4 linked regions of the Caenorhabditis elegans genome follow. The protein of the gene in region 4 purifies or fractionates together with the protein of the main gene of each other region. This does not show direct contact. Each region holds a gene or a part of one and is shown on either strand. Other genes may lie near its edges.

Evidence for each region.
Region 1: the proteins of chch-3 (region 4) and ndub-6 fractionate together in Caenorhabditis elegans (co-fractionation; one large-scale study listed by BioGRID). This does not show direct contact.
Region 2: the proteins of chch-3 (region 4) and nduc-2 fractionate together in Caenorhabditis elegans (co-fractionation; one large-scale study listed by BioGRID). This does not show direct contact.
Region 3: the proteins of chch-3 (region 4) and dif-1 fractionate together in Caenorhabditis elegans (co-fractionation; one large-scale study listed by BioGRID). This does not show direct contact.

The regions. Positions count from the first base shown.
Region 1 is NC_003282.8:11,648,970-11,656,434, forward strand, and holds ndub-6 (NADH dehydrogenase [ubiquinone] 1 beta subcomplex subunit 6), read left to right. Parts: upstream 1-3,433; 5' UTR 3,434-3,439; coding exon 3,440-3,546; intron 3,547-3,599; coding exon 3,600-3,702; intron 3,703-3,754; coding exon 3,755-3,871; intron 3,872-3,936; coding exon 3,937-4,047; intron 4,048-4,100; coding exon 4,101-4,234; intron 4,235-4,283; coding exon 4,284-4,344; 3' UTR 4,345-4,463; downstream 4,464-7,465. Other genes in the region: acl-3 (Tafazzin family protein), read right to left, coding at 1,946-2,152, 2,253-2,532, 2,589-2,685, 2,731-2,850, 2,900-3,050; ent-1 (Equilibrative nucleoside transporter 3), read right to left, coding at 4,733-5,047, 5,147-5,232, 5,281-5,793, 5,843-5,937, 6,016-6,182, 6,334-6,495.
Region 2 is NC_003281.10:2,783,391-2,790,824, forward strand, and holds nduc-2 (NADH dehydrogenase [ubiquinone] 1 subunit C2), read left to right. Parts: upstream 1-3,461; 5' UTR 3,462-3,471; coding exon 3,472-3,817; intron 3,818-4,499; coding exon 4,500-4,573; 3' UTR 4,574-4,638; downstream 4,639-7,434. Other genes in the region: Y71H2AM.20 (Serine/threonine-protein phosphatase 2A activator), read right to left, coding at 545-909, 1,757-2,099, 2,145-2,234, 2,301-2,426, 2,477-2,554; cox-6B (Cytochrome oxidase c subunit VIb), read left to right, coding at 2,814-2,870, 2,918-3,037, 3,101-3,289; tbcc-1 (C-CAP/cofactor C-like domain-containing protein), read left to right, coding at 5,055-5,259, 5,317-5,441.
Region 3 is NC_003282.8:7,548,603-7,556,143, reverse strand, and holds dif-1 (Protein dif-1), read left to right. Parts: upstream 1-3,269; 5' UTR 3,270-3,279; coding exon 3,280-3,574; intron 3,575-3,648; coding exon 3,649-4,142; intron 4,143-4,256; coding exon 4,257-4,406; 3' UTR 4,407-4,487; downstream 4,488-7,541. Other genes in the region: F49E8.7 (BACK domain-containing protein), read left to right, coding at 1-30, 77-537, 584-1,136, 1,184-1,498; F49E8.6 (Early nodulin-75-like), read left to right, coding at 1,899-1,973, 2,019-2,282, 2,328-2,489; oef-1 (C2H2-type domain-containing protein), read right to left, coding at 4,726-4,775, 5,117-5,270, 6,433-6,622, 6,674-6,903, 6,947-7,053, 7,098-7,206, 7,259-7,450, 7,494-7,541; pam-1 (Puromycin-sensitive aminopeptidase), read left to right, coding at 5,340-5,385, 5,955-6,099. UniProt on the Caenorhabditis elegans protein: Seems to play a role in the maintenance of tissue differentiation in the developing embryo, but not for its initiation.
Region 4 is NC_003280.10:9,415,461-9,422,752, reverse strand, and holds chch-3 (MICOS complex subunit MIC19), read right to left. Parts: upstream 5,741-7,292; coding exon 5,658-5,740; intron 5,595-5,657; coding exon 5,429-5,594; intron 5,380-5,428; coding exon 5,236-5,379; intron 5,188-5,235; coding exon 5,125-5,187; intron 4,835-5,124; exon of another isoform or gene 4,746-4,834; intron 4,691-4,745; coding exon 4,637-4,690; 3' UTR 4,437-4,636; downstream 1-4,436. Other genes in the region: M176.11 (YhhN-like protein), read right to left, coding at 1-36, 86-217, 328-482; M176.4 (lysoplasmalogenase), read right to left, coding at 891-1,085, 1,132-1,347, 1,859-2,048, 2,164-2,273; gss-1 (Glutathione synthetase), read left to right, coding at 6,323-6,427, 6,480-7,150, 7,197-7,292. UniProt on the Caenorhabditis elegans protein: Plays a role in maintaining mitochondrial morphology. May act as a component of the MICOS complex, a large protein complex of the mitochondria.

The sequences.
Region 1 (7,465 bases), on a different chromosome or scaffold from region 4:
TAAGGTAAATAGAAATTGACTTATAATGAGAATGTGGAAAAGAAAGATAAAAAGGATAAATTTTCAGATAGGACCGAGTCAAAATGACTCAACCAGCAACATTTTTGAGGAAGAGAAAGGTATCAATGAGAATGTGGAGACTCCGCCTTGTCTATAGGACGCCTGTTTTCTTTTTCCATGGCTCTCTCCGAATGGCACATGATCTCTGTGAGGGAGAACCCTTCAAGTCAGAATCACTCTACTTTTCACAATCTTTGTGTTTTCTTTCATCTTCTTCTTATTTTTCTGCTTCAGGCTCCGTGCTGCTCCTTCCAAATTGATAGATTTGATGATATCCAGTGATAAAAAAGAAACAGAGGTCACTTTTGATCGAGCCAACCATGAAGGAAACGAACAAACAAAAATGTGTTATCAAAGAAAGAGATATCGTGGTTTTCGATTGGATTTTATCAAACCACCGCTCTGCCATACTTCGATATCGAAACGTCAAAGTGTGCAGGAGATTTGTGCGAGCACACGTTCAAGTCATATGGCTCTTTTGCTCCGAGAGCAGGAAGACCGCTTGACACCGGATAGCTTTTCCTACATGTACACAGTGTCACTGAAAAGTGTATCAGTGATAACTGATTGGAGAAAATGAAACGTTTGAGGAATGATACTAACATGAACGTTATCGTATCTTTGAACTCTCTGAAATGAGATTTTAAAAAAATTATTGCAGAAAAATGCAAAAGTAATAAAGGAAGTTTCTGAAAACACAAAATCTAGGAATTACCTAGTTGCAAAAGTCAAGCGATTTTCGCCTAAAAACACGATACCCGGTCTCGCCACGAACAAATTATTTTAAACTCAAATCTGCTATGAAAGGTGTGCTCCTTTGAGTAGTAAGTACAGTAACCAACTTCCCGTTATTTCCTGTTCTTTATTATTGTTTTCTAGTGTTTAAATTTAGATTCTCAAGAAAAATGTTCTAATAAGAGAATATTGCAAAATAACAGGCAAAGGATTACTGTACTATTTAAAAGCGCACACCTTTTTGCGACTTGGATTTAAAAAAATTCGTGGCGAGAGCCGGTACTGTGGATATTTTCACTAAGGATCGTATAATATGCAACTGGTGCGATTACTCTGGAATCTAGACCCAAAAAAACTGAAAATACCGATCACTGGAAATCTTGAAAAAGCTGGAAGACGACGATAGGCATGCACATAGGCCTGAAGATATGCCTACTTACGGTTGAAGTCTAATTGCACAAAATGTTCAAATTTTCAACTGTTGTTCATAATATTTCACTTGTTGTTTGAAACATTGAGCTTGTTTTTTCATACTCAGATATCATGAACATTCTCGTGATAGAACAACAAGCTCAGCTGTGAAAGATCAGTGAACTCTGATCAGTCAGTTTCTGAAAACCCTATTGTGCATATTTCAGTTTCAGATTTTACTTGGATTCTTGAATTGCCTACTCTAGATTTCGCATGACGGATGCATTTCCTTTGCATATGAATGTAAAGTTGTTAACCTCCATATGATATGTCATGCAAAATGTCATTTTCTATGTTATTTTTCTTCAATCCATGAACCCAGAGAAACTTGGTATCATCTTGATTTCTCCCGCCCGTTTGACACGCCGCCATCTGCTCCTGCTGCTCTTTGCCGTTTGGCACGCCATTAAACCAACGACTCGATTCGACGTTCTGAAACGATGAGAGGAAATGGTGAAGGAGAACAGAATGATGATCTTAAGATCAGAGCTTGAGACGAATTCATCCGGGATTTCAAGGGAAGAGAAAAAAAAAACAAAAACAGCAAGTAGGAAAGAAAATGGCTATCACGTACATAGAAAATGCAATAAAAGTTGTGTTATAACAAAAATCATCAAACCAAGAAATAGAAAAAAAATCTAAATATTTCCTAAAAAATTAAAGCTATGGGGAATCAAGTTTAATATTCAATTGGCGGATTTTTTCGAAGAATTTCCAGTGACGATCCTTTAGGAAGATCACCAACTTTCTCTCCCAATTGATACATCCGTGTCTGAACTTCGTCAGTGATGATTTTTCGCATTTGTTCAGTGGTCAGTGACTTTGATAGAACTGTTTTCTTGAGATCAGACAGGAAAAATGGCTCTCCGATGTGAACTGTTACGGTCTGAAACGGAAAAAAATGAATAATTTCACTACGTTTTTTGCAGATTTTATATTTTTACGTCTAAATTTGATTATTGAACTTGAAAAATCTTCCGACTTACATTTCCAAATTTAGGATAGTATGGAGGTTGTGTTGGCCAAACTTTTTCCATCTCTTTACACCATACAGGCAATATTACTGGATCGGTTTTAGCATCCATCACAAGCCTTCCAATTCCCCACTTGAATCGTAGTGGTTCACTTTCAAGAGTACACACTTTTCCTTCTGGAAAGATATGAACCCATTTATTATCATTCAGCATATCCACACAGAAATCCATTCCTTTTTGATAAACTCCTTCTCCACGAACACACGGAACACAACGTCCTAATGAGAACATTCTGAAAAATAAATATGCGACGATTAATTTGAAAAATTCAAGAGAAAAAACTCTTACGTTGTATGGAACTGTTTTGTGAAGCAAATGTTGTGAGCTGCGAGAGTGTATCTATTGCGATCTTTGTATCTCCAAAACTCACGGAATTTCAGAATACCTGAAAATAGAAATTAGGAATGCTATAATAAATCATTCGGCTTACACCACATGAGCGGGTCGTCGATATTTGAGCGATGATTTGAGACTGTGATGAGTGGTTGATTCGGATTTTCCAAAATCTTGACGAATGTCTCTTTGTTGTGGCATATCAACTTATTGGATCCTAAAATGTATCGAATTTAATAATTTTAAACTTTAATTAAAAGACAAACCTCCAAGGAACATAAGTTTGGAAACTGAAGTGACTAAACTCATTGTCATGTATGATTTTATACGGTACAGAAGTGACGGTTTTTTTGGAAAGGGCCATGCAAACCGGAAGCCTTGCACGTCATTTGTTTTATCCCGCATTGTACCCGACATCGTGCTGAAATACTTTTAAAGTTTAGAAAAATCTTTCGAATGGAATAATAAAGTGTTAGAGAACGTGGAAACTATATTAATTTTAATCAGAACAATGCAAGAAAAAAGAAAGAGAAAAGTGCGCCGCGCGCTTGCACCTCGAAACTCCGCCTTCTTTTGCAAGCCGCAACGGGCTTTTTAATAAATGGCAGATCTAAATTTAACTGCAAAATAGTTTGTTTTATTCAAATTTGCTAAAATTTTATTGATTTCGTATGTAATTTATGTTAAATTGTTATATTTCGTTGTCATGTATCATGTTTTTTGTGTGCCCGTTCATTATTATCGATTTTTACTCAGTTTATATTTAAGCAGTCTCACAAATTCATAAAAACGAATTTCAGGCTCAAATGGGTAACCAGTATGTGAAACCAGAACGCACGGGCAATTCCCCTTATACCCGGTCCGGAGTTCCACCACCGGCGCTTGTCAAGACTGGTGACAAGCCTCTTCACAGGTAATTCTTTTAGATTCTGTTCAACAAATTCTATTCAACACAAAAAAATTCAGAGTGAATGACCGCATGTCTCTCGAGCTCCACATGGCCGATGAGCGTGTTCGTGCCGCTGGTTTGAGCCCAGCCGAAAGAGAATGGAGAAAGAAGTGGGTTCATGTGAGTTTTTACATTTTTTGTCAATTGTTAATACTAAAATGTTTATGTTTAGGACCAGCACCTTCACGCTGACGAGCCAGTCGTTGTCGATGCCGTTCATCGTCAGTTGAACCCAATCAGAACCGCTTACAGACTTCCATGGGACAAGTTCTATCTTCATTACCTCAAGGTGAGATATATTTTCTTTAAAAAAATCAATTTTTTAATTTGAATTTCTCATTTATTGCATTTCAGCCAACATTCGGAGTTTACTATGGAACCGCTATCAGAGTTACAGCTCCAAAATTGCTCATGGCTTTCGTCGTTGTGCAGACTGCCTATTATTATTGGAAATACGAAGTCAAGGTATTCAATTTTTTGAATTTTATATTAATTTCACGAACCATTATCTTTTCAAGGACTGGACACATTTGAGAGGACTTGAATCGATGCCACAAAAAGAAGTTATTGCTAGTGCTCCAGCAATTGAAGAGAAATTCCCTGGACTCATGGATAAGGGACTCGCCAACCCATCCAAGGATGACTACTACACGTGAGTTAAACAATAATTTGTGGAATATTGGAAAATTGAAACTTTTCAGACCAACATTTAATAAGCGTACTGCTTACCTCGATGTTGGAGAGACAAAACGACCGTGGTAATCGAAAGGAAACGAGTGACAATCAGTCATTCGAATATGTACTTTTAGGGTGTTGTAGACGAATTTTTAAAGTTTTTTCTTTGTTTTTGACCCTACCGTAAATAAAAAATTTCATGAATGATTTATTTAACCAACTTTCTAGGTTTTATTCATAAAAAACAAGTTGAGATTATAAAAAAATAGGAGAACAACGAGATGGTGCTGCGGAAATACCTGAAGAAGGAAAATAACAAAGAACAACAAAGTATTAAGAGGTATTTTAAGGAAAGAACACTAGTGGATAAAGATACTACAGAGGAAACCTTGAAGGTTATGAAAGAATTTACGTTAGGGAATTAATATTGCTAATGATGAGGTTGATGGGAATAAAATAAGGAGGAATAAGAAGTTTAGGCCGTGACGACCATCTTGATGACCATTGTGAAGATCAGACCAGAGACAATTCCAGAGATGAGGAAGAATCCGGCCATCATTCCAGCGACCTGAGCCTTCGATGGATCAACAGTCTTCGAGGTGTACATCATGGCGAGTCCCGAGAAATATCCACTTCCAAAGCTCATCGAGGCGGCGATAATGACGAAAAGCCAGGTGGATTCGAAAAAGACGGGAAGTGAACGGGTCTCAGGGAGATAGTTGCAGAAGATGAAGAATGGAATATAGAGGAGACGGAGGTAGACTGGAATCCAGAGCTTGTTCGGCGCAGGCTGAAATAAATATTGATATATTAGATTATTCTAATTTATTCAAGTTTACGGTATTCCTTCAATCAGATTTTGCCAAAATCTCAAAAAATAAAAACATACCCATTGCTTTCTTCCGGCGACAATTGATCCAATAAAAGCGAACACGTTGAATTGAAGGAATGTGGTCACATCCATGAAGTATTTTTCTGAAAATTCACGGTTATGTATTTCAAGAGAATTGATGAAAAACTGACGTGGCAATGGGAAATCGTAGACACCTCCTTTCTTCTCATCCTTAACATACATCATGACTCCTGGGAAGATGGAAAGAGTAACGAAGAAGACCAAAAATACGTTGATGAGTTGTGGGAAGGCCTCCTTGAAAGTTGCGATGTAATTAGCCACTTTTCCTTCGCTATCAACTGCTTCATCGTTTTTGTTTCGTTGTCTTTCGGCACGGGTACTGTAATACTGGTAGAAACGTTGTTTCTTGAGGATGTGGAAGGAGATAAAGCAGAAGACGAGTGTGATTAAAGCAATGGAGAAGTAGGCGAATGATCTGTCCAAGATGTTTCTGGTGACAGCTTTAGTCGACATACTGAGCAGGGTGACGAAGGTTCCACACAAATTGTTTCCAATGATCACAGCATTGGTGTACTTGAAAGGAAGCTCCGATGCAAGACCGAAGATACTGTTCTGGTATACTCCATTTGCTCCATTCAATACAATAATTGTGATGATGGTGAGTGTGAAGAATCCGGTGAGCCCTGAAAACGTCTGGGTTTATAAAAATAATAGAAAGGGATGATGACTTACATGTGGAGGTTTCGACGTAGATGAACATCATTGTAGTGATCACACAAACAGCTACAATTGAGAGTCCGACAGTGATGCGACTAGCAAGTCCTCCCCTGAAAGTTTACATTTTATTTAGAACTTAACGAAACATTGAACTGCAAGAATTTATCTTTTAGAAAAAAGTTGCTCACTTGACGACAATGAAGATGTTGAGAAGATTGAGAAGAAGGTTCGGGACTTGAGAAGCGATCGTTTGGAAGCTTTGGAAGTTGGATGAGTAGACAGTTGGATATCCAGTAACTACTCCGGTGTCCATGTCGATTGTTGAGTTGGCGAGCATTTTGTATGATTCGAAATACTGCAAATAATGATTATAAGCGAATTTTTTACAATTTAATACATTTTCTAGATAATTTCTATTAGCTCACATTCCTAAAAAATGGTTTCCATGCTTTGAAATAGGCTTTTAAAATATCGGTGATCTTTTTTGTTGGTATTTCAAAACTCACATCATAGGAGATCGTAATAAGCATGTTCCATGGCATAAGAGTTCCGATTCCATGGAGCAAGATAATGTAGAAAACAAGATTTCCCTTGTCCTCTGGCTCCGGGGATTCTTCCTCGACTTTCTTTGTTTTGTTTAACGGCTGTAGCTCCACTGCCGACGACATAGTACCCTGAAAAACATTTTGTAGGTTGAGACATAAATAACGAGGCAAGAAAAGATGAGCATTTATAGGAATTTTTTCTTCAAAAAGAAAAAAAATCAGCAATTTTCAAGAAAAATGAGCAGAAGTAATTGTTCTAAAGTTTTTCCCAAAAAATTCGAAACGAGAATTGTCGAATTCAAAACAACAGGTGCAGTTAGATGTGCAGGTTATTACTGTAGCTGAATTTGAAAAAATCCATAAGAAAAAACTTCATGGAAAAAAACTGAAGATGTTTTTTGACTTTGAACTCAAAAGAGAATAATCAATGAAAGTGAAAGACAATACTTGATAGTACGGCGATTGCCTCTCGTCAGCTATTTAGTAAGATAAGCTAAAAATTGAAAGGTATACTTCATTTCAATGAAACTTTTGTCTGCAAAAAAGCGACGTCAAAGCATGTATTTGCAAACTGTTGTCGTGAAAGGGAAGCTAAAAAGTTAGCTTCAAGGTAAAAAAGTTTGACTTAATTGAAAGTTTGATGTGAAAACTGTTTCTTAGAGTAACAATTATTGGCGATAGTTATCAAATAATGCAAAGGAAGTGAAAATAAGATTTTTAAATTAATAAAATCCTGTTAAAAATTGAAAGAGCTCATTAAAGGCAACAACTTGGAAAAATATACTTTTTACAATCCTAGACTTCGTTTAAAGGTCGTAGAATTCTACAAGAGAACAGATTATGTTTCATATTTTACATATTTTCTGAGTTATATCAAAATTTGTGTTATAACGTATCTGAAAATAAATGAAAAAGCCTCAAATAGTCCAATCAAACACGAAAAATTATTGCAATTTTAATCCAGAACGATGCAAAAAATGAATGAGAAAAGTGCGCCGCGCGCTTGCATCTCCAAACTCCGCCTACTTTTGCAAGCCGCAGTGAGCTTTTTACTCCATGGCAACCTGAACCTGAATGGTAAATGAATAATTAG
Region 2 (7,434 bases), on a different chromosome or scaffold from region 4:
CTTTTTTTTCTTCGATATTTTGACCGACCATAAAAAATTTTTGTAAAAAAAGTGGTTTTTTCAGAATTAACGCAAATTTTCAGAAAAAGGGTCATAACAAATTGATTTTTTTTCCTAATTTTTCTACTAATTTTTAGAAAAAGAAACAAAAATCTTGGGTTTCATTGGTTTATATACACTTTTAATATACACTTTTTGTAAGTTTTCTACGGGAAAACTCGAAATTTAAGGCGATTATAATAGCTTTTGTTGAAAAATTTGGTCATTTCTCAATTCTTCCAGCAAAAAATCGTAATTTTCCATACAAAACGTTTTTTTCTGACAAAAATCAGTTTTAAAAGAATTTTCTGTTTGAAGGTGAAAATTCAGCGGTTTAGTGCGTTTTCAGTGAAAATTGGTTTTTCTGCCAAAAAAATCACCACTTCTTCTCGATTTTTTCCATTTATTTTTCAAAAAAATCAATTTTTCCAGTGAAAAATTGAAAATTTCGCTTTAAAATCTCTATAATTGTCGATATTTTTACCATTTTCTTCTCCGAATTAACCTTAAAAGCGAACATTCCATGCTGAGCCGGAGCTCTTGGAGGCATCGGATCCTGTGACGGAGCATCTTCCATAGATTCTCTTGGATGCTCCGATCGATCAAATGAGAATAAAGAGCCGAACATCATGTGCTGAACAACTGGAAACTTCTTTAAAACTTCTCCTTCATACATTTTAAACATTCCACTATTGACTTTTTTCCAGTGTGGAACTGCTGAGATATTCCAAAGTTGATTTGAATGTTCGTGGAAAGGGCCGGTTTTTGTTTGATTGATAAAGTTTACGCAGTCCAGGAAAAGACTTGTGTGGGCGTGAGTCTCAACAATATTCTTTTTTAGGTAACTGTCCGGCACGATACTTTTTGAACCTGAAAATCGAAACAATTTAAGATTTTGGAGCGGATTTTTGGCTATTTTTTGGCATTTTTCAACATATTTCAGGCCTATATAAGCTTTGGAAATTCAAAAGTTTTTTTTTTTGTAATTTATTGGTAGAAAACTAGATTTTTAGGTGATTTTCTAGTAAAATTTTATAATTTTTTTTCTGAAATTTTCACAGAAATATGCTTTTAAGCGGGGTTTTCTAGAAAAATTGTAGAAAAATTTTTTTTTGTCATTTTCGGTGCCTTTTTTAAGTTTCACAGGAAATTTAGTGAAAACTAGCTTTTTTTGAAGTTTTCCTACGAGGAAATGTTGTAGATTGAAGATTTTAAACGATTTTTCCCGGATTTTTAATAGGAAAATCGCGAAAATTGATGATTTTTAACGGAGAAATTGAGGATTTTTCAATGAAAAATTGTGAAAACTTATGATTTTTAAAGGAAAATTGCCAAAATTTATGATTTTTTGGCAAAAATCGCAAAAATGTGATGATTTTTTAATGAAAAATCGGGAAAATTGTTGATTTTTTATTTAAAAAAAATCGCAAAAATTTGTGATTTTTCGACAAAAATCGTGAAATTTGATGATTTTCAACGAAAAAACGGAAAAATGCATGATTTCGAATGAAAAATCCTTGAAAAATGAACGTTTTTTGAACAAATACTGTGAAAAAAGACATTTTAGATAGAATTTTCCGACAATCTGTGAAAATAAGTCGGTTTTTCTTCGGAAAACGACTTAATAATTGTGGTTTCTTGAGAATTTTTGAGTTTTTAATGGAAAATTCAGCTATTTTCCTGAATTTCAAGACTTCTAGTTGCTCCAACATATTACCAATAAGCTGAGCGCTTCCAAAAATGAACGGCGCGAACTGAAAATCGTCAATCGCATGAACTCCACGACTTCCAGCCGGCTCCATCTTGAATCTGGTCTGCAGATGACGGCACACTCTCAAATACTTGTTAAAAATGCGAAGAACGAGCACTTTGTCATCATTTTCTGTGAAAACGCCCAACTTTTGCAGGCAAAACAGCAAAATTAGGAAATTCGCCTCGTGTCCCGAGCCGTAATCGATTCGAGTGGCGTTTCCGAAGGATTCTGTGAAATATGGAACCAGTTCGACTAGAGCATCGTGGACGTTTTCCGGAAGAACGCTGGCTAGGAGATCTGGGGATTCCTGGAATTTTTAAAATCTTTTTAAATACATTTTTGAGCTAAAAACCTTGCAAAGCTTCTCATAAAACTTTCTGTAAGCTTTATTGCCAAATCTTTGCTCGGAAACATCTTCCAGAGGAATTTCCTCAGCCCATTTCTGAAAAAAATCCATTTTTTATTTTTTTAAATCTGGTTTTTCGTAATTTTCCGTAATTTCTCGAACCTCCAGCTTATCCAGCATGTCGATAAAGCTGATAACCAAGTCTGTGCATCTCATGTCTGCAGTTGTATGAACTCCAACTACAGAATCATTCAAACGATGCAAGAAAGCCAGGTACTCCTCGTAAGCCTGCAAATTTCCATTCATAATCCTTCAAATCGATAAAATTTCTGTTCTACCTTGGAAAAGTACCACGGATTCAGGTCGAACACATTTTTAATCATCTTTTCCGGCGGTTTATACGAGTTTTCAGCCATTTTTCTGGAAAAAAATCTATTTGTTTTGATTTCTAGAACTTTGTTATGTAAAAAAATAATGCAGCAAGTGCGCTCCAACGCAAAACCCCATTGTGGAGCGTTTTGTGCGTGAGAGGTGTATAGGAGTGTGTGGCTCGCGCAGCGTCTTTAGTGAAAAATTTTTATTGATTTTAAATATTGTTTAATTCGGTTTTCACGGATTTCTGAGCTTTGAAAATAACCGCCCGTGTTTAAATTTCAATTATATTCAATTTCAGTAATGCCTGTCGAAGTTGAGGTTCCCCCAACCACTTACGAGAGACTCCAGCAATACAAGGTGAATTTTTAGCGTTTTTCTTCATTTTTATCGATAAAAATTTACAGGAGAAGTTCTCCGATGCTCTCCGTCATCCAGACTCGCCAGACTGGTACAAGAAGGAGACCCACGAGTCTGTGAAGAAGGATCTTCTCTGGGCTGCTCCATACGACGCCAGATTCCCACAGGTTGGTAACTTTATTTAAAATTTATTATATATTAATTAATAATAAAAATGTACAAGTTTTCAGGTCCGTAAGCAACGTCAATGCTTCGCCTACTACGTCGATTTCCATCGTTGCAATGAGCTCATGGGACAGGACTACAAGCCGTGCAAGTTCTTCCAAAATGTCTACAAGGACTTCTGCCCCGGATTCTGGACCGAGAGATGGGACGAGCTTCTTTCCGAGGGACGTTTCCCAGCTAAATTCGATCGCTAAATGAGATTGTTCGATTGTATTCGAGAACAGGCGTTTTATTAGTGCTGATATTCGATAAAAAGTGTCACTTGTAAAATATTTTAAACACTTTTATTTCTTATGGCGTTATGAGACGCTTGAAATATCTCATTTTTTTTAAAAATCATATTTCCCCCAAATAAATAATTTTCTCAGTGGAAACCATGGCTGACTCAACTCGCGTCAGCGAGAAGGAAATCGAGCGCCGCGAGACCTTTATTCGCGCAGGACACAGAGCTCGTCACCTGGCCGATCCATTCACATGGAGCTACCCATTGAAGGGTGCCAGTGCAATGCTCGGAATCTCGCTGGCTTCGGTTTATTTGCAAAATCGATGGAACAAGAAGCCGTACTACTACGCAATTGTTCCACGGCTTTTGCTCATCGGAGCCGCCACCGCCGCCGGATACGCTGCCGGAGCACTTCGAGAGAGACACTATCAGACGAGAGACGCAGTCATCGAGCACTACATGAAGCTTCATCCAGAGGATTTCGACCATTTTAATGATCGTGAGTTTTGGAATTTGCTGAAAAATCGATTTTCAGATTTTACTGCAATTTCGAAAAAAAAACCCGGCTGAATTCGATCAAATTTGAAAGATTTCGGCTTTTTCCCCCCAGAGAATACCGTATTTTTCGCGATTTTCTGTGATAAATGCAGAAAATATATACATTTTCCCCGAAAAAAAAACGCTGAAAAGGAGAAGATTTGGCTAAAATGCTCGATTTCGGACCAATTTTTGCATTCAAACACCCAAATCAATGATTTTTATCTTAAAAATAGCAAAAATTGGCGTGAAAAACCGATTTTAGCCTAAAACACCATGGAAAACTACAAATTATCGGTTTTTTCGTATTTTTTAACAGTAAATTCGTCATTGTTCATGTAAAATACTATAAATCACCGATTTTTATGTTAAATTCAGAAAAAAAATAGTGAAAATGGCGCATTTCAGCTTAATCTTCTCCTCGAGGAGTACACGAGCTGCGTAAATCGACACATCACAGAAAACTTGAATTTTGGACTAGAATTCAGTTTTTTTTTCGCAATTCTAAGTAATTATTTTGGAAATTAGTGCGAAAAAAAGGGAATTCTGGCTAAAAAATTCAAAATTTCTGGGAAAACGGAAGATTTTCTAGTGAAAAATGCAAGAAAATCATCAAAAATTCATGGAATCTATTTATTTTTCAGGCAGTGGACGTTCATTCTCTCAAGTTCTTCTTCCATGGTATCCACGCAGAACCCAGTACACCAGATACGACTGAACAATTCTCTCGAAGTCTCTTTTTAGTTCATTATTGTAAATTAAATGAAGAATTATTGATTTTTTTCCCGGAAAATTCTCATTTTTTTCATTTTTCAGCATCCATCTGGTCTTTTGAGCCGTTTTGAATATAACTAATTAACCCAGAAGCAATTTTGGGGCAAAAATACTATACTATATCCTGGGTCTCGACGCGACAATTTGTGTTAAATGCGAAGAGGGATGCGCCTTTAAAAAGTACTGTAGTTTTAAACTTTTGTTCCGGTGGTTTTTATTGATTTTTTATAGTTTTTCTCACATTTTATGAGAATTTTTGCATATTTTTTTAACGAAACTAGAATAAAAACACATAAATTTCTATAAAATCTGAAAAAAAAACTATGAAAAATCGATCAAAAATTTAAAAAAAAACTCAAAATTGTCGTGGCGAGACCAGTTTTTTGCCACAAAAATCGCGCAAAAAAACGCCAGATTTCAGCATAATGGAAGCATCTTCGGAACAAATTTTATTGGATCGAAAAGATCGATTAATTGCAAAACTGGAACAAAGAAATGAAGAACGAAAAGTGCAAACTGAAGAATGTTTATCGAAATCTGAAGGAGCACAAATCGATAATTTAATGGCGGAAATTAAATCGGATTTGGAAGCGAAAAAATCCGTCGATTCGCAGAAAATCGACCGGCTTCGTAAGAAATTTCCCCGCCTCAAACAAACAAAATCGATAATTTTCTTCAATTTTTCAGAAGAATTTCTGGCGTTCTCGACGAGTAACCGGCAAACTAAAACAATTCAAAATTTCCTTGAAGACGTTCGAAAACAGAAGCTCGCGCTGAATTCTGGACCCAAATTCAAGGGTTTTTCGTTTTCAGTTCGGTGGTTTTTTTCACTGATTTTCTCAGGCAACTCAAATCTAATATGAAAATATTAAATAGCAATATTTTTGTAGTTGGGTGATATTTCAAGATAAAATCGCAATATTCCGAGACTTATTCGAAATCTTTTTAGATTGAGCAATCTTTTGAGAATAATTCGCAATATTTTGAGGTTGATTCGCAATATTTCTGAATCTGAAAATATTACGAAAAATTCGTAATATTTTGAGATGACATAGCAATCTTTTGAGATTGGTTCGCAATCTTTCTGAAATCTAAAAATATTACAAAAAAATGTGTAATATTCTAAGATTAATTTGCAATCTTTTTGCAGTCCATAAAGATTACAAAACACCATTTCCAAATTTCCATCGGCTTCACATGATCGTGATATATATACAACAATTATGATTACTGTTTCGTTCTAAATTCTCTTTTCTTCCAAATGATAAAAGACTTTTCAAAGTAAAAAACAGCTACATGAAAATCTATATAATGGAGTATCTCACTGTTAACGGATATTTGATTTTTCGTTGCATATTGTAGAAGGAGTTTTTGCAGAGAAAGCCACAGAATTCACAAATCTGTCCACTCATGTAATTTTTTCTAGATAATTGGCCGGTCATATTACAAATTCAGTCAAACAATCACGAAGATTGGTCGAATACATTAAAGTAGACTTACAACTATTCATTCACGCGTGATGCGTTTGAGATTTTCTGATTTCAATTGAAATCATAAAATATTGTCAACAGCAAGCATGTTCCCAGTATACTCATCATTTTAATCAAATTGTTAGTGAAAAAAAATATTGAAAAAATAAAATGTTATTCTCTCTTTGACAAAAATTAGGAAAATTTGCAATTCTAACATTTTTAAAAGCATAACAAATAAATCGTTTTTCCACATTCGCTTTCAAAGAAAGTTATCCAATTTCGCTCTGACACTTAGAAAAATTTGCGAAAAGCCACTGATTTCCCATCAAAAGTAACGAAAAGGACGTGCGCCCATCAACTATTTACTTAAGCAATAACTAAATCTAGATGCGACACGTACAGGATGGCTCAACAGGTAAGATAATGGTTCATAGACTCAACGACAAGCGACGGACAAGTTCAACTCCCCTCAATGGCAACAAAAGTTCTTCGAGTTATCACAAGACAGTTCTAGAATAGTCGATGAATGCATTTTTAATATTTAGAGACAAATTCGCAATATTTTGAGACAAAATCGCAATCTTCGGAGATGAAATCTCAATCTTCGGAGACTAGTTCGCAGTCTTTTGAGACAAATTAGTAATATTTTGAGATAAAACGGAAGTCTTCCTAGAAATTTTCACACTTTCGCAATATTTTGAGATGAAATTGTAATCTTTTGAGACAAAATTGAAATCTATTCGAAATTTTTAGTAATCTTTATATGACGCACAATTTCTCGTTTTTACTACAAAAATATTGCTATTTAATATTTTCATATTAGATTTGAGTTGCCTGAGAATTCTCTATAAAAACTGAAAATTAACTCAAAAAACTGAAATAATGTCGCAAATTCGCGGGAAATTATGAGTTTTTGCGGCATTTTTCGTTAAAAAATTCACATTTTCTCTATAAAAACTGAAAAATATCGAAATACACAAGAAAATGTTAATTTCCTATATTATTATAGAGAAAAACTTGAAATTAACACAGCAAAAAAAACTGGAAAAAACGAAAAATTGATGAAATTTGTCAAAATTAATTATTTTCCATGTTATTTTTGAGAAAAATTCGAATTTCTCTGCAAAAACTGAAAAAATAGAGTTTGTGCGTTTTTCAACGTTTTTCGTGAAAAAAACTCTGATTATTCCGAAATACGGTACTCAGGGTCTTGAAACGACAATTTTTGATAAATGCGAAAACGTGTGTGTGCCTTTAAAGAGTACTGTAGTTGTGAACTTTTGTTGCGGCGAATTTTTCAAAGTTTTTCTCACATTTTTCGTGTGTTTTTGAA
Region 3 (7,541 bases), on a different chromosome or scaffold from region 4:
GAGACTATCGGGATCTTAATTCAATGGCAAGTAAGTCTAGAGATTTTTTTACATGATAAACTTTCAAATCATTCAGGAATATTTGAAATCTCGTTCCGACAGACTCAGCGAAGTTTTCCTATCGAAAGTCAATTCATATTTTGAGCACATTCGAATCACGCTTGCTCTACCGTTTGATGAGTCGAAATGGGCAGAATTGGAAACACTGACAGAAACTGATCTCAACAAAACACCGATTTTTATCAACAATATTCGAACATCTACAGTCTCTGTCATACTCCATCTCGAAAATCTTATTAAATCGTTCCATCTGAATGTAAAAAGTGCAGAAATTTTTCCATTCGACTCTGACTCATTTGGGCTCCCACCGATCAATTGCAGGAAGATTTTGAATCCATTATTATGGATGAAAGCAGGAATCGAAAAGTTGATTCAAAATAATTGTCAATGCGACCAACCTCCAATTGTTCCACTGATTACATTGCTAGATCTTGCGCCAAAGGAAGGTCATTTTCAGGAATTAGCTATTGCCTCATTGTAAGCTATTATTATTAAATATATTATTTACATCTTATTATTTCAGCTTTCTAGAGAATACTGCCCATAAACTTGACTATTCATGTTCTGATGACGAAAAAAAGTTCCTGGATCAGATAAAGATGAAGTTTGGAACAACAAAAGTTGACAAATTAACAATGGTTTTACCGGATATTCTGATGGCATACAGCGAAGAGCTTGTGGAAAGAGTGATGCCAGTGTCATATTTCATCCCATTTGAACTCTTCCGTATGATGCTGCTCTCTTGGCAACCAAAAGTATTGAATCTTCGATTAAGAACAGAAGCATGTTCTTCTATTGAAGATGCTGCAAGAATTGAATGGGATGACGAGGATGTTTTCACTTCTACCACTCTTTTCAACTGTCCCTTGTTTGATAGATGCGAACCAGTGTGTCTTGGAGACGAAGAAATTATTTTGAATTGCAAATTGATCGTTGATTGCTCAGGAAGTCGTCTTTTTGATCCCATGTTCAACGAGGGGAACGTCTATACTGCTGGCAGAGATTTCTTGGTGTTATTCCCAATGCAAACGATCATATTGAAAAGAATTGTACCATTGAAAGTTGGTTCATCAGTGGTAAGTTCCTCTTTTGTCTTTCTAATTGGTTTTTTTTCTCATTGCAGAAAGTTCAATTGAAAAAACAAATCGACTACATAGTGAACACATTCTTCTTCAACGCCAGCGAACACCAAGATCGAGTTGTAAACTATGAACTCACATTTACCAACTCTACAGATGTTCAAATGAGTGCAGTGAAAAGATGTATACCACAAGTCGCCAATGGACGCCAAATTGGAGTCAATTTGAATGTTGAGCAAGAAACAAGAGATTTATTCACTGATCATGGCAATTCTTGCCCTGGAAGACATATGTTCGCCAGTTTTTTCGATTCAGAAAATCAGGTTATTGTAGATCTAAAAGTAGTGCTGGCCAATTAAGTTGTGCAGTATTATTATTTCCTTGTTGATTCAGTTGGTTTTCAATTCTGAGTACTCTTTCGTTGTCTGTTCTGTTTATTCTCAATGCTGTTTTCTCTGTTCTTTGTTTCTCTGCTCTTTTTTCCTTTTTCAACATAAATTTATGTGTATCCCGGCCGTAGGACGAGACTTCACTTGTTTCTCTTCCACTTGTTTCAACTTAAACGCGAATAAGTTTTTCAGTGCTATTCTGATTAGTGTGTGCACTGAAAACTGATCAGTGAGCGAGTTTGTAAGTCGTTGCTAGGCATTTTCATCTGTGGACAGCAGAGAGCGCGCTTTCATCGATCTTGATTCATTTCTCACGCTGCTGCTCTTTTCATTTCTTTTTTTTTGCTCTGAGATCGACGAGAAGTGAAAAATGCCACTTTTTGGAAGCAAGAAAACCGATAAGAAAAGTGGAATGAATGAAGCACCAAGCTATCCGAAGCAAAGTGTAAGTTTACTTAACTTTAAATCATGAATAATTTGATTTTTTTAGGCCGTTCCACCTCCTCCGCAAGTTGCCCACTATCCGATGCCAACATATCCACAAGGTCCGCTTGTTCAACAAAACGAGTTCTACTTCACCTCCGCTGGCCAACAACTCCAATCGGTTCCAACTACTACAGTCGCATTTGCAAGAACCGATCTGCCTGGGGCTTACGACAACTTCTGTGAGGGATTCCTCGACGGACCAGACTTCTCAAACCGAGTCCCAGACAGGAACATTCCCCCTGCTCCAGGATCGTATTACTTCTACTCGGTAACACACATTTTTAAATTTCAACTTTACCATACCCACTTTCAGCATGGCAACAGCTCAACCCCGTCGTTCGCCCCTCCCTACTGTGCTCCACCACCAGGTCCATCTTCATCTGCTCCACCAACACTCCCGACGTCTTCAGGCAACCTGCCGCCACCTCCAACCTACGAACAGGTTCTCTCGCAGGAAGTGAAAGAAAAACTATGATAATTTCGCTGAAGATTTTTCAACATTTTCAACACTGTATTCCCTTTGCATCTGTGATTGCTGTTTGCATACTAAATCATAATTATTCTGCGATTTCATTTTTTGTGCTCTTAATTTAGTCATTTTACCTGAACGATATTTTGATCAAACCACATTTATGCATTTATTTTCTCCCAAGACTACAAATAAGCCACGATGTAGTCTTCCTGAAGGGCAAAGTGCAAAAAACGAATGCTATCTGCGTCTCCCCGGTTTCTGTACTATCTCAATAACGTTTCGTTATCTTCTCTTTCTCGGAGAGTAGTCCAGCAATCTCTGTGTTCATTGGCTGTTATTTGTGGCGAACCCTCACAGCAACGACGTGGTCGGACACACAAACATTTTCTTCACTTATTTTTTTATCTTCCTTTTGTTGTTGATATCTTCGTAAACATTCGTTCCCACTATCGATCTAAATAGGATAAAAAAGCTTTACTGTTCTTTAAAAACTCCTAAAAATCCAATTTTAAATTTTATATTCGAAATTTAGCGTTTAAAGTGCAATTTTCTTTGATAAGATAAGTTAAGATAAGTTAAACATTTCTTACAAGGCCTGACAGGGTTTTCTTAAATTCAGAAATGTATTAACTTGAACAAAACTAAATATTATCACCCTTTTTTTAAATAACAGGATTCAGGTATTTTTCTTAAATCAAAAAACCACTTAATTTCTACATTAACCTTACTTAATATCGGAAAATTTCAGCCATCAGATCGAAGTTTTTACATTTTATTTTTCAGACGCATTGAAATGTCGGACGTTCTTCTGAATTTCATCGCAGGAGGAGTCGGTGGATCATGTACCGTAATCGTCGGACATCCATTCGATACTGTCAAAGTCCGAATTCAAACTATGCCAATGCCAAAACCAGGGGAGAAGCCACAATTTACCGGAGCTCTTGATTGTGTCAAACGAACAGTTTCCAAAGAAGGATTTTTTGCCCTCTACAAAGGAATGGCAGCTCCACTTGTTGGTGTTTCTCCACTTTTTGCAGTTTTTTTCGGAGGATGTGCAGTTGGAAAATGGCTGCAGCAAACTGATCCAAGTTAGTACTAAATCATCATGGGCAAACAAATAAATTGAAAATATGAGAATTAATCTTACCATTTTGCATTTCAGGCCAGGAGATGACATTCATCCAAAACGCTAATGCTGGAGCTCTTGCTGGAGTCTTCACAACAATTGTGATGGTTCCTGGTGAACGAATCAAGTGTCTTCTTCAAGTTCAGCAAGCTGGATCTGCTGGTTCTGGAGTTCATTACGATGGTCCACTTGATGTTGTCAAAAAACTATATAAACAAGGAGGAATTTCATCAATCTACAGAGGAACTGGTGCCACTCTGCTCAGAGACATCCCAGCTTCAGCCGCTTATCTTTCAGTATATGAATATCTAAAAAAGAAATTCTCTGGAGAAGGAGCTCAAAGAACATTGTCACCAGGAGCAACATTGATGGCTGGAGGACTTGCTGGTATTGCCAATTGGGGAGTGTGTATTCCAGCTGATGTTCTCAAATCTCGATTACAAACAGCCCCTGAAGGAAAGTATCCAGATGGAATCCGTGGAGTTTTGAGAGAGGTTCTTCGCGAAGAGGGTCCTAGAGCTCTGTTCAAGGTGATTTTTTTTAAACGATTGGGACGATGCAAGTGAATTTTTCGTCATTTCTCGACACATTTACATACATATATACTTTACCTGATTTCTAGCTACAATTTGTATAAATTTCAGGGATTCTGGCCAGTAATGCTCCGTGCTTTCCCTGCAAACGCTGCCTGTTTCTTCGGACTTGAACTCACGTTGGCTGCCTTCCGTTACTTTGGCATTGGTGGACACCCAACACCATCTACAGAAGTTGTTCCACTCCCACACGACGAGTAAATTTTTGAAAATTCTCATTTTTCTAATTAGTTTATACCATATTTATTTGATATTTTTTTCATTATTCAAAAACATTTACCCGAGTTGCCTTCTATTTCCATGTTTTGGGCATTTGTATGTTGTGTATATTTCTACATGAAAATCGTAAATTTTTTGATGAACTTCAAGAAGTGCTCAATGTTGAATTATATTTACCGTGTTCAGCTGTCGCTATACAATTTTTTTTGAGAAACAGGTTCATTAAATGCAGAACAATTATCGAAACAAAAGAGTACAACGGGTATGGTGAAAAAAAAACAGGGGAACATTTAAGATAAGACTATTCTAGATCGATGACGCTCTGAAGACTGCCAGGTTCACTTTCTGAAACTATTTTCACAATTTTAAACGATTGGGATAGTGATGATTGGAGTTAAATTGAATTTCATTAATTGAAAAACCTACACTAAATAAGAGTATTCTGGAAATGAGTAGTTTTAATTTAGAAATTCTTTTTTAGAAAACCTAACCTTTCTGGAAGAAATTGTATTGAAAAAAAGTTTTAAAAACACCGAAAATTATAATCATCAATAAAAATTTCTTTTCAAACGTTTACTATATTTACTACTCCTACAAAAATTTGGAAAAAAACAAAATAATGCTGAGAGCGATAATATTTCAAAACCATCCAAAAGAAAGCTGAAAATTCTAATCTAAATAATGACATTTACCTTTATTTCCTGTATCTATAGACTCGCTTCGAGCACCTTCTTCAGAATCAGTTTCATCCTGATTATCAAAAATATCATAGTCTGAATCCATCGAGCGTGTAGGTTTTCCGCGTTCAGAATTATCCAGACGACTTTGCTTGCTTTCTTTTCCATTCTAAAAATAACATTGATTTTACAAAATTATATACTAAAAATCTGTAATTCTGTCGTTCCAGATTTCAGAATGCTGGGAAGATTAGCAGTTCGACAGGCTGTCCGTTGCAGTAAAGGTAATTAATTTCCCGTTTTCTAGGAAATTTTGTAATTTTACATAGCTTAGAAGTAATTGCAAAAAAAAGCAGATTTTGCAGATTTTGGTCATGTGAGTTGATAAGACTGACAGCTGATAAATTCAGTACTCTGAATTCGTGGAAACAATAATATTAAATGATAAGTGTCACTTGATCAACTGTGCACAACTATACTACTGAATATTGTGAAATCTGGTCATCTAGATATCAGCAATAGCATGGTCAGAATAATAACATCCTAGCCGTTAAGATCAGCACAGGAGCCAAAAATACGGTACCCGGTCTCGACACGACAAATTTTTCTTAAATACAAGGTCTGCCCCTTTAAAGATTACTGTAGTTTCAAAATCTCGATTCTGTAACATTTTCATCCTGTTTTAAACCTATTTTTTGAACAAACACATCAATTTTATTGGAAAACAATGAGAAAAACGAGAGATTGAAGTTACAGTACTCCTAAAATGAAATTTTTCGTGTCGAAACTCGGTACCGTATTTTTGACTCAAAAATCGCTGTTTCGCCTGTTGTTCATTCTAACATTTTTACAGCATCCATCAAGCCCGTCAACACTCATCAGCTTTGCCTGCGCAATTTTTCGGCCATCCGACGTCTTTCATTTGTCGCCGGCGCCCAGTGCCGTCCCTACCACACAACAGCAAACATGCTCCATCGCACGGCAAGAGGCGAACACGGGTCAGTTCTGCGTCCCGGTGTGTGTATGTGTTTTTGATGACAATAGTGTCTCGAAGTGCCAACCTCTAACTATCCTTTTTCGTTATCGAAAATGGAAGGGTGGGTTCTAACGTCATTCACCCTATTTGTCTATACGTCTGTTATGTTTATCATTTTCACACCAATCTAAAGCAATTTCCACGAAAAATCTAATGATCTTACATTGTGTCATTCTGAAACATTTCATTCTACTGATAGGCTTCACGACTTCTTCCAGTTTCTATTAATTTTTTCTCCAAAAGCTTATTTCTATGTTTTTGAAATATTTACAAAAACCTTTTTTCAACAACTCACATCTGTTTTGCTTTTATCAGCCACAGTGCTGATATGGATAATTTCACCTCCTCGAACAATTCTGTACGAGGCCTTTTCGGAGAGATACCAGGTGTTTCCGTTTCGAATTCTACGGCTTCTGGGAACTGGAAGATGACGCAAGAAGCATTTTTCCATAACTGAATTGAAAGTTGACACTTGCTCATTGGACCTAAATTTGAATCGAATTTTTAAAAGCATTTCTTCAATGTGATTTTCCTACCATAAGTCACGAAATTCAATTTCCACGTGGGTTTTATCGTGGTGTTCAGAAATATGTTCACATGGTGATTTCGACACAGGAAGAGTTCTCAAACAGTGGACACACTCATAGCGTTTTGCTATGTCTACATTGAGAAATTCCGATTCTGGGTGGGCGTCTAGAACATGTTCAGTCTGTTTCCTAATTTTTGTATTTCGGTTTCTACCGGTTTCCACTTCATGCTTGCACAGCTGAAAATTGTAGTTGAATCTGACGCAATTGTCGGGGTCTCACCGAACAATATGCCATATCAAGTTGATCTTCCTTTCCGTTTTCAACGATTATCGAGTCATTTGGTGTTTCAGCATCCATTGAGTTTACCATAAACAATTGCGGAATATCTGTTATCAGCGAAATATTAAAAATTAAATGAACGAACTCTTACTGTTTACAATGTTCTCTGATTCGTGATCATCCAAAACTGCATCTTCCTCGATGTTAGTTGGCTCGAGCAAAAGTTTCAACGCATCCGAGTTTTCGGCGAAAGTTCCGCGCTGAAATACTTTTTATTATTTTCGAACAATATTCGAGTTATTCAATCCTTACCGCCCATTTCTCTAATATTTCTTGGTTTGAAGACATCTGAATGGCGGGTTGGTTTGCTTCCGAAAACGGATCAACCGATTTCTGTTCCTCGGCTGTTTCTCGAAAATTAAAAGTTCCACTGTCCAATTTATCCAAATATTCTTTCATTTCTTCCGGAGTTGACGAGAAAATGTGATTCAAGTGATTGTTCGTCTAAAAATATGAATTAGGAAGAATAATTAAAGAAAAAACTCACCAAATAGCGACGAAGCTTTCGTGCAGCATTAATTTGTTCGATGTTATC
Region 4 (7,292 bases):
AACACAATTGGAGAAGAAACTGAAGTTACAATGTCTCTGAAAATGAAATAGTTAGATTTCAAACTGGAAGTTGGCTTTTTAATACCTATATGAGAAGTAATAGAACACATTGGCAATTGTGTAAAAGATAGCGGAAGCTGGGCCAGTACGGTTGACTGATTGGAAGTATGTCGCGATGGCGGACATTAAAAATGACATGGCAGTGGCGAATCGGGCTCTGGAGAAGTCATATATTTTTGTTAAAACTATTATTAAAATGTCTTATTTTTATAAATTAAAAGAAAATTTAAATACGCTAAAAATAAGTTTTATAACCGCTCAACTCACTTTGGATTCATTGTTGTTGCAAGTGTCAAAATAGACAAGATCACTAGAGGTGCACTGAGAAGAATATGATGATTTTTCTCGAATTTTGACGTTTCAATGTACGCCAAAACCGTCGAACCGCCATAAATGGCTAGACATTGGGCAGGTGATAACATCTAAATAAATTAAGTATATTAGCAGCTAAAAATAATTTAAAATAATTGAAAACCAAGACTTTGTAACATTATTTATATAATAAAATTATGAATTAAGAATCAACGAGCAAACATCAACATTTGCACGTGCAAATGGGCAATGTGAATATTGAAAACATTTGCTTTAAAAATGTTTTTTACAAAGCATACAGATATTATAAGGAAGTTCCAGGACCATTGTTTCAAATTTCCCAATTGACGAAAAATTTGTACCTAGAATTATTTTGAAGAACTTTATTAGATATTTCATATTAAAGCTTCTGACATTAGGTAGTCTAGTCATAATTGTAAGAAATATTTTCAAAAAATAGGAAAAAGGGAGAAATACACTGTAAATAGAATATGTACAGGTTCAGAAGTTAGTGATCATCAGTTGATTTTTACAGATTTTTTCACAGGGTTCACAGCCATCGTATTTCCAAAAAGAATGAAATATTGAGCAGAGTAGTAGGTTGAGAGGACACAGAATGATGGAGCCAACTTCCAATATCCAGTGTGTGAGAGCATGAGCACCGAGTCTGAGATGTAGAAGAGGAAGAAGCCAATGGCACGGTAGAGGAGCCCCTGCAATAGAAAATTGTATTATATCAAATGTGCAGTTAAATCAAACCTCTTCATTCTGTGACTTTGATCCATTGAGATACTGTGAGACAGCTATCAACGTACACGTTGATAGAAGAAGTGAATAACTGGCAAAGACAGTCAATGGGCCTCTATGATCAGCAAGCATCGGAATGAAGCAAAGTTGTCCAATGACTAAAGCCCATGCCAACATTCCAAGAAGGAACTTTGTATGAATTTTGGTGGCATGTTGCCGGTAGAGACTCTGAAAAGCTCTGTGATAATTGATAATTCTGAGCATAGGTAAAAAATTTCAGAAACTGTTCTTTGACATTTCTCCAATTTTTAGAAAATAGTTAGCGATTCTCTGAATATCCCCCGATTATTTTTTTAAAGACTACTAACAATGTTCTTTATAATCTTTTTGTGTAATAATAACCTTTTGAAACTCTGAATTACTGTCAAATTGATCTGTTGATAAAAAAATATTGGAGAAATCTATATTTACGAATTTTTCCTTTATTAAACTTGGTATTTGGGCAACAACCACATGCTTAGCATTGTCCGAAAATTCTTATCTTGGTTCGGAATATAAACTTAATCCACACTTGGGTGAAACTTGGCTTCGACCAGGCCCAAGTTTAGATGCCTATCTTTTGTCAATCTTCTACCCAAATTTTTCTTCTGGACCGAGTTAATATCTAAGTGTCAAAGTACCACGTACATGATATTTGATTGTTACATCTCGAAATTATGTCTTCAATGACCAAACTCACCAAGTAAAAGAGGTGACCAATTCCAAAAGCGACAGCTCCCAAAATGATTCCATCATGGCGCATTCCAATAATCCAATCACCGACTCCTCCGAAGAACAAGCCAGCGGCAGCAGTTTTGCGTTGCTCTTTTCCTAGTCCACCTCCATTTAAGTATGCAAAAGCAACAAGTAGAATGATTGGAGTTATTTTCCTAAAACATTTTGGTACATTATGAAAGTATAAATATTGAACTTTAATGTACATTTTAAAAAAACCTTTGAACCTTTGAAATTATATCAATCTGTTATCAATTTATATACACTCACCAAAAGGAATAGCTGAATGTGTAGTGATCATTGAAACCATTTGATTGGTAGTAAAAGTTGGCTACCAATAGGAAATAAGCCAATCCAATTGAAGAAAGCTGTGACTGCATCTGGAAGAATTAAAAAAATAAACAAAAAATTGATGCCGGGAAATTAATTTTAACAAAATATGGGGCACGTTTAAAGCTAGACAATTTTCTAATACATACTTTTTAGAATGACTTGTACTTTAATATCGAGAGCGTCCAATAAGGGGAGGTAAGATGTTCTAAGTGCACTAGTTTTCAGAAGGGTATGTCAATTAGGGTCTCGAGTGGAAATGATGTAACTTTCGTATTCTAATAAGCTAGAAAAACAACAAAGTGATGGAAACAGGAATTCGTTTCAGGATTCAAGTGTTGGTTTTTGCAGTAGTAAGAGTTCAACGATAGTCTTATCATCATACTTTTCTGTCGTCGAAATTGATAGCGGTGAACCTTGACTATATTGGCTATTCTCTAGTTTTGCAGATCGAGGAATCACTATTTGAATCTTGTGGTTGGAGCCAGCTACAAGTCTTTTTTCTGCAAAACACTATGCTGATAGACGAATTAATTTAAGCAAAATTGTATTTAGTTTGAAATTATTCCATTTACTGTACAAAACAAAAGAAAATTTTGTAATTTATCAAAAACTGGCCAATTTGGCAATTCTCCAAAGTTTTCAAAATCATCGTTAAACTTTTAACTATCATTTGAAGACACAAGTTTCAAAATAAAATAGTCGTTCCAACAAAAAAATAAAGAACCTAAATATAGACCTAATAATCTTCAAAACCAATGACAATAACCTCATATTTTTCAGAGGTGTTTTTTTTGTACTGCGCCAAATAAAAAACGCGTAAACCAGTTCCATCGACCTCTTCCGACAAGAGGATGAAGCGGAAATTTGAGAGGGAGGTGTGTAACACGTAAATAAAGGTGTCCAACCTTCCAACATCTCAATATATTCTCGTTTCTTGGCAATAAGTTATTACACAATTTGATACACTTAATTGGATTCAAGTGTGAATGTTACAGTTATCTTGAAGGTTGAAGTTAATTGGATGAGGCGTTAAGATTTTAGATTTTGTGGACGATAAAATTGTTCTAAAGAGAAATAGTGAAGGACTGAAATTTGATAGTTAACCTGAAACTGCGTGAGACGTCAGGTGCACTTTTGTGGTATGCTTCAGGGGTTGGCTCCGGATCCTGTGAGCACGTGGCACGTGACAATGATAGGAAGGAACAAGTGTTTGTTTGAACTTTATCGTCACTTCCGCGGTCACAAATTTGTATGATTTTTGTTCTCAAATTGGTGAACTAGTTAAATTTGATTTGTTCCAGGAAAAAATCGATTTCATATTTATCAGTTAAGAAAAGGCACTGGAAACGATTTTTGTTTGCTTTGCAAGCAGTTTGACTATTTATGTTCTTTTCGAATTAAAAATGGAGCTACGTTTTGCTACTTTGGAAAAAACTTTTTTCTACAACGCATTCGGAGCAAAAAAAAAGAAAGAAGAATGGAAGCGAAGATGAAGACATGGGAGGCGACTAGAACGAAAAATGCGCGAAAAATGTGAGTGTTGTGCGTTCGGAAACATTGACCAGACGACTAGAGATTTGGTTGGTGGCTCCCTAGCTCTCCAGATAAAGCGTTATTGACCATTGCGTGAAGTTATCTTCTACATGGGTCTTGCCACGAGGACAACAACAAGTTACTGTACTTCCTATCAATTTACGAGTCGCTTTTGCATTATATTTGTATTTAACAAGTTATTCATCAAATTTTAAAACGACAAGGCAATATTGGCCCGTAAATCGACAAGAGTTACAGTAACCCGTTGATCGTGGCGAGACCATGTTATCTGTAGACGACTACGTAAACGAGGTGTCCATATAATAGTTTTAAAAAGTTAGAATCTTGAAAGTCAACAAGACCACACAGTAATAAATTCGAACCTAGTCAGGTGTACTGGCGAGAATCAAATCTGAAATCTATTCAAAAATAACCCGTTTTACCTCATTTTTCTGGTGATAATACGGAACCGCCCATCATCAGTCCCACTGCGTTGTGTGTCCTGTTGTTATCAGCTGTGTTTGTGTACCAAAAAAAATTTGCTACAACGCGTAGCTGATTTTTTAAATATTCTGAAAATATAGTGAAAAATATCTGAAAATTAAGTAAGGGGAAAGATGGGTACAGGAGCGAAATGCCTGTTTTGATTTTGGAATATATAACTTGAAAACGGATTTAAAAGTTCCCTAGAAGTTTATTGTTTCGTTCGTGGAACAAAAAAATTTGAAATAAAAAAGCAAAAGTTTTTGGGTGGGAGGCTGAGGGGGAAATACAAGTTTTGAGAAAACGGGGCACGCACACACACCTATACAACACTACGATCAAAAAAATGTGGGGAAATATGAAACAATGTATTTAAAAATCGATATGAAGAAATTTAATTTCCCTTGAGCACTTGTTGCCTGAACTCGCCGACACATTTCTCGAATGCCTGAAATTATAAAAAGAAAATAATTTGTATCACAATTTAATTAATTGTAGCCTACAAACTATGTAAACAATTGTTTGTTTTATTGAACTAGTATTTGTGTTTTTTAGAGGGATGAAAAGGATATGCCTTCAAAATTTACTCTAAATGTTCATAAATTTTGGAATTTTGCCAAAACTTTCATTTTCGGAAATCTTCAATTTTTTGAAAAATTAAAAAAAAAACCTTCCTGGTATTTAGATACTTTAGTTTTTCCTAAGTTGAAATGAAAACAAAAAAAATAGTTTCAAAATTATTCCCAATTTGAGAGTTATGCAAGACTTCAAATAATTCAAGTGGGTTAGTGATTGTTTTAAAACAATTTTCACAACTTTTATATTTTTTTAAATTTTAATTTTTTACTTTGCTCGTGATTCTAAAAAATTTCCCAAGTTTACCTCAGTAAGTGGAGCACACTTCAAAACACGTCCTGGATTTTCTTGAAGACATCTTACAATCTCCTGAAAAATGTTGGATATTCTCAAAAACTTTCTCAAATTAAAAATTACATTTTCATTATCCTGGCACACATTTTCACGGTGATAAGCGAAGAATTGCTTCTGAACGCGTTCAACAGTGTCATCGAAAATTTTCTTTCTCTCCTCCAAATCATTTCCGGAAATCGAAACTGGGGCGGCGGAAATTCCAGCGGTCTGAAACTTTTAAGTTTAATCCTATCAGGAAAGATTTTTTGATTTTTACCTTTCTCTGTTGCAGCTGACTGAGCTTAGCCATATCTTCTCTTAATCTAGCTTTTTCTTCACGCTCTCGAGCCAATTCTTGTCTGAGACGGTCACTTTCTCCGTCGTTTCCGGCAACTCTGGTCGCATTGACTCGGCTCACAACGTCCGATGATACACCGACGGTTCTGAAACGTTGAATAAATAAAAACTTCCTAGTTTCAAAAGAATTCCCAACGTAAAAAACTCACTTGTACTCCTCGGGAATCTCATTTCGGTCAATGCGCACCACTTCGGGACGTGCCTCTTGTTCTGCACTCTGGGATGCTCCCATCTGACAATTATCGATTAATAAAAGTTTAAACAGACACGAGAAATTAAATATAAAAAATTGAATTGTTTATTTGTTGTTTTGTGTGTAGAAAAATAATTTTGATAGAAACAAAAAATTAGCGTAAAATAAATAGCTAGCGCAATACTCGTGCACGAGATGTGCGCCAGCAGCTCCTTGACGCAAAACGTGACGTTTAGCACCAAAATGATTTTTGCTCTTTGAGTTCTTTGTTTTCGGGAGCAAATTTCATGCCAATCCCTTTCTTTTTTTCAAATTTTCCTGTTAAATTCATGTAATAACTATTATTCATGTCAATTACAACAAATAAGCATCCAAGATTTTATCATAAACTCGTTCAAACCTCCTTTTACCACTCGAAAAGCAATATCTCCGACTTCCTTCAAAGAGAAATGATGACAAAACATAGAAACCTCACGTTATACGTTTTGTCATCACGATTTCAGTGCTCACTTTTCTCATTTCATTCTCGCTTAATTTCATTTTTGTCACTCTCGCGTCATGTTTTGCATTTTTCGAAAGCATTTATTTAAAACTGAAAAAATAATTCGTAATTTTTCAAGAATGGCTCAAAAAGATGACCGGATTTTGCTGTTGAATGCTCCAAGGCTCCCGCTCGAAGATGATAAGCTCAACGAGCTCACCGCTGATCTTCACGATTGGGCTCATGTAAGTTTTTTTCTTAATTTCCGAATTTCAATGAATTTTAAACATCTTTCAGGCTAATGGGCTTGTCATGCGTCTATCAACCGACAAGTTGAGCAGCGAAGTTTGTCAAACTACTCCATTAACACTTCTTCCATCTCCATTCCCGAAAAATGTTTTTGAAGAAGCAGTTCATATTCAGAACCTTTTCGCAAGTCTTTATCACTTCATAGCTTATGAATTTGATTTTCTAATCGATATTCATAAAAATGTCGTGAAAACTGATGATTTCACACGGAATATGGTTGAGATCTTGAAGAAAGTCAAAGCCCAAGGACTCAAGCAACCAGTCACTCTCGCGATTCAACGATCTGATTATATGTGTCATAAGGATCAATATTCAGCGGAATATGGACTGAAACAAATTGAAATAAACAATATCGCCTCGTCAATGGGAGCACATGCTCTACGGCTCACCGAATGGCATATCAGAGTTCTTAAAGCGTTGAACATTTCCGATGACGTCATTCAAAGAGCAATTCCAGAAAACAAGCCAATTCCAATGATCGCTGAAGCTTTATTCAAGGCCTGGTCCCACTTTTCGAACCCAGCAGCTGTGGTTCTTGTCGTTGTAGAAAACGTCAATCAAAATCAGATTGATCAACGCCACGTGGAATATGAACTTGAAAAGTTAGGAGTACCGATGACATGTATTATTAGAAGAAATTTAACACAATGCTATGAACAGTAAGTTTTTGTATTTGAATACAGAATTCTATGTTAAAACTTTCAGATTATCATTGAATGATAGAAGCGATTTGATGATTGATGGGCGTCAAGTAGCAATTGTTTACTTCAGAGCAGGATACTCACCTGATCATTATCCATC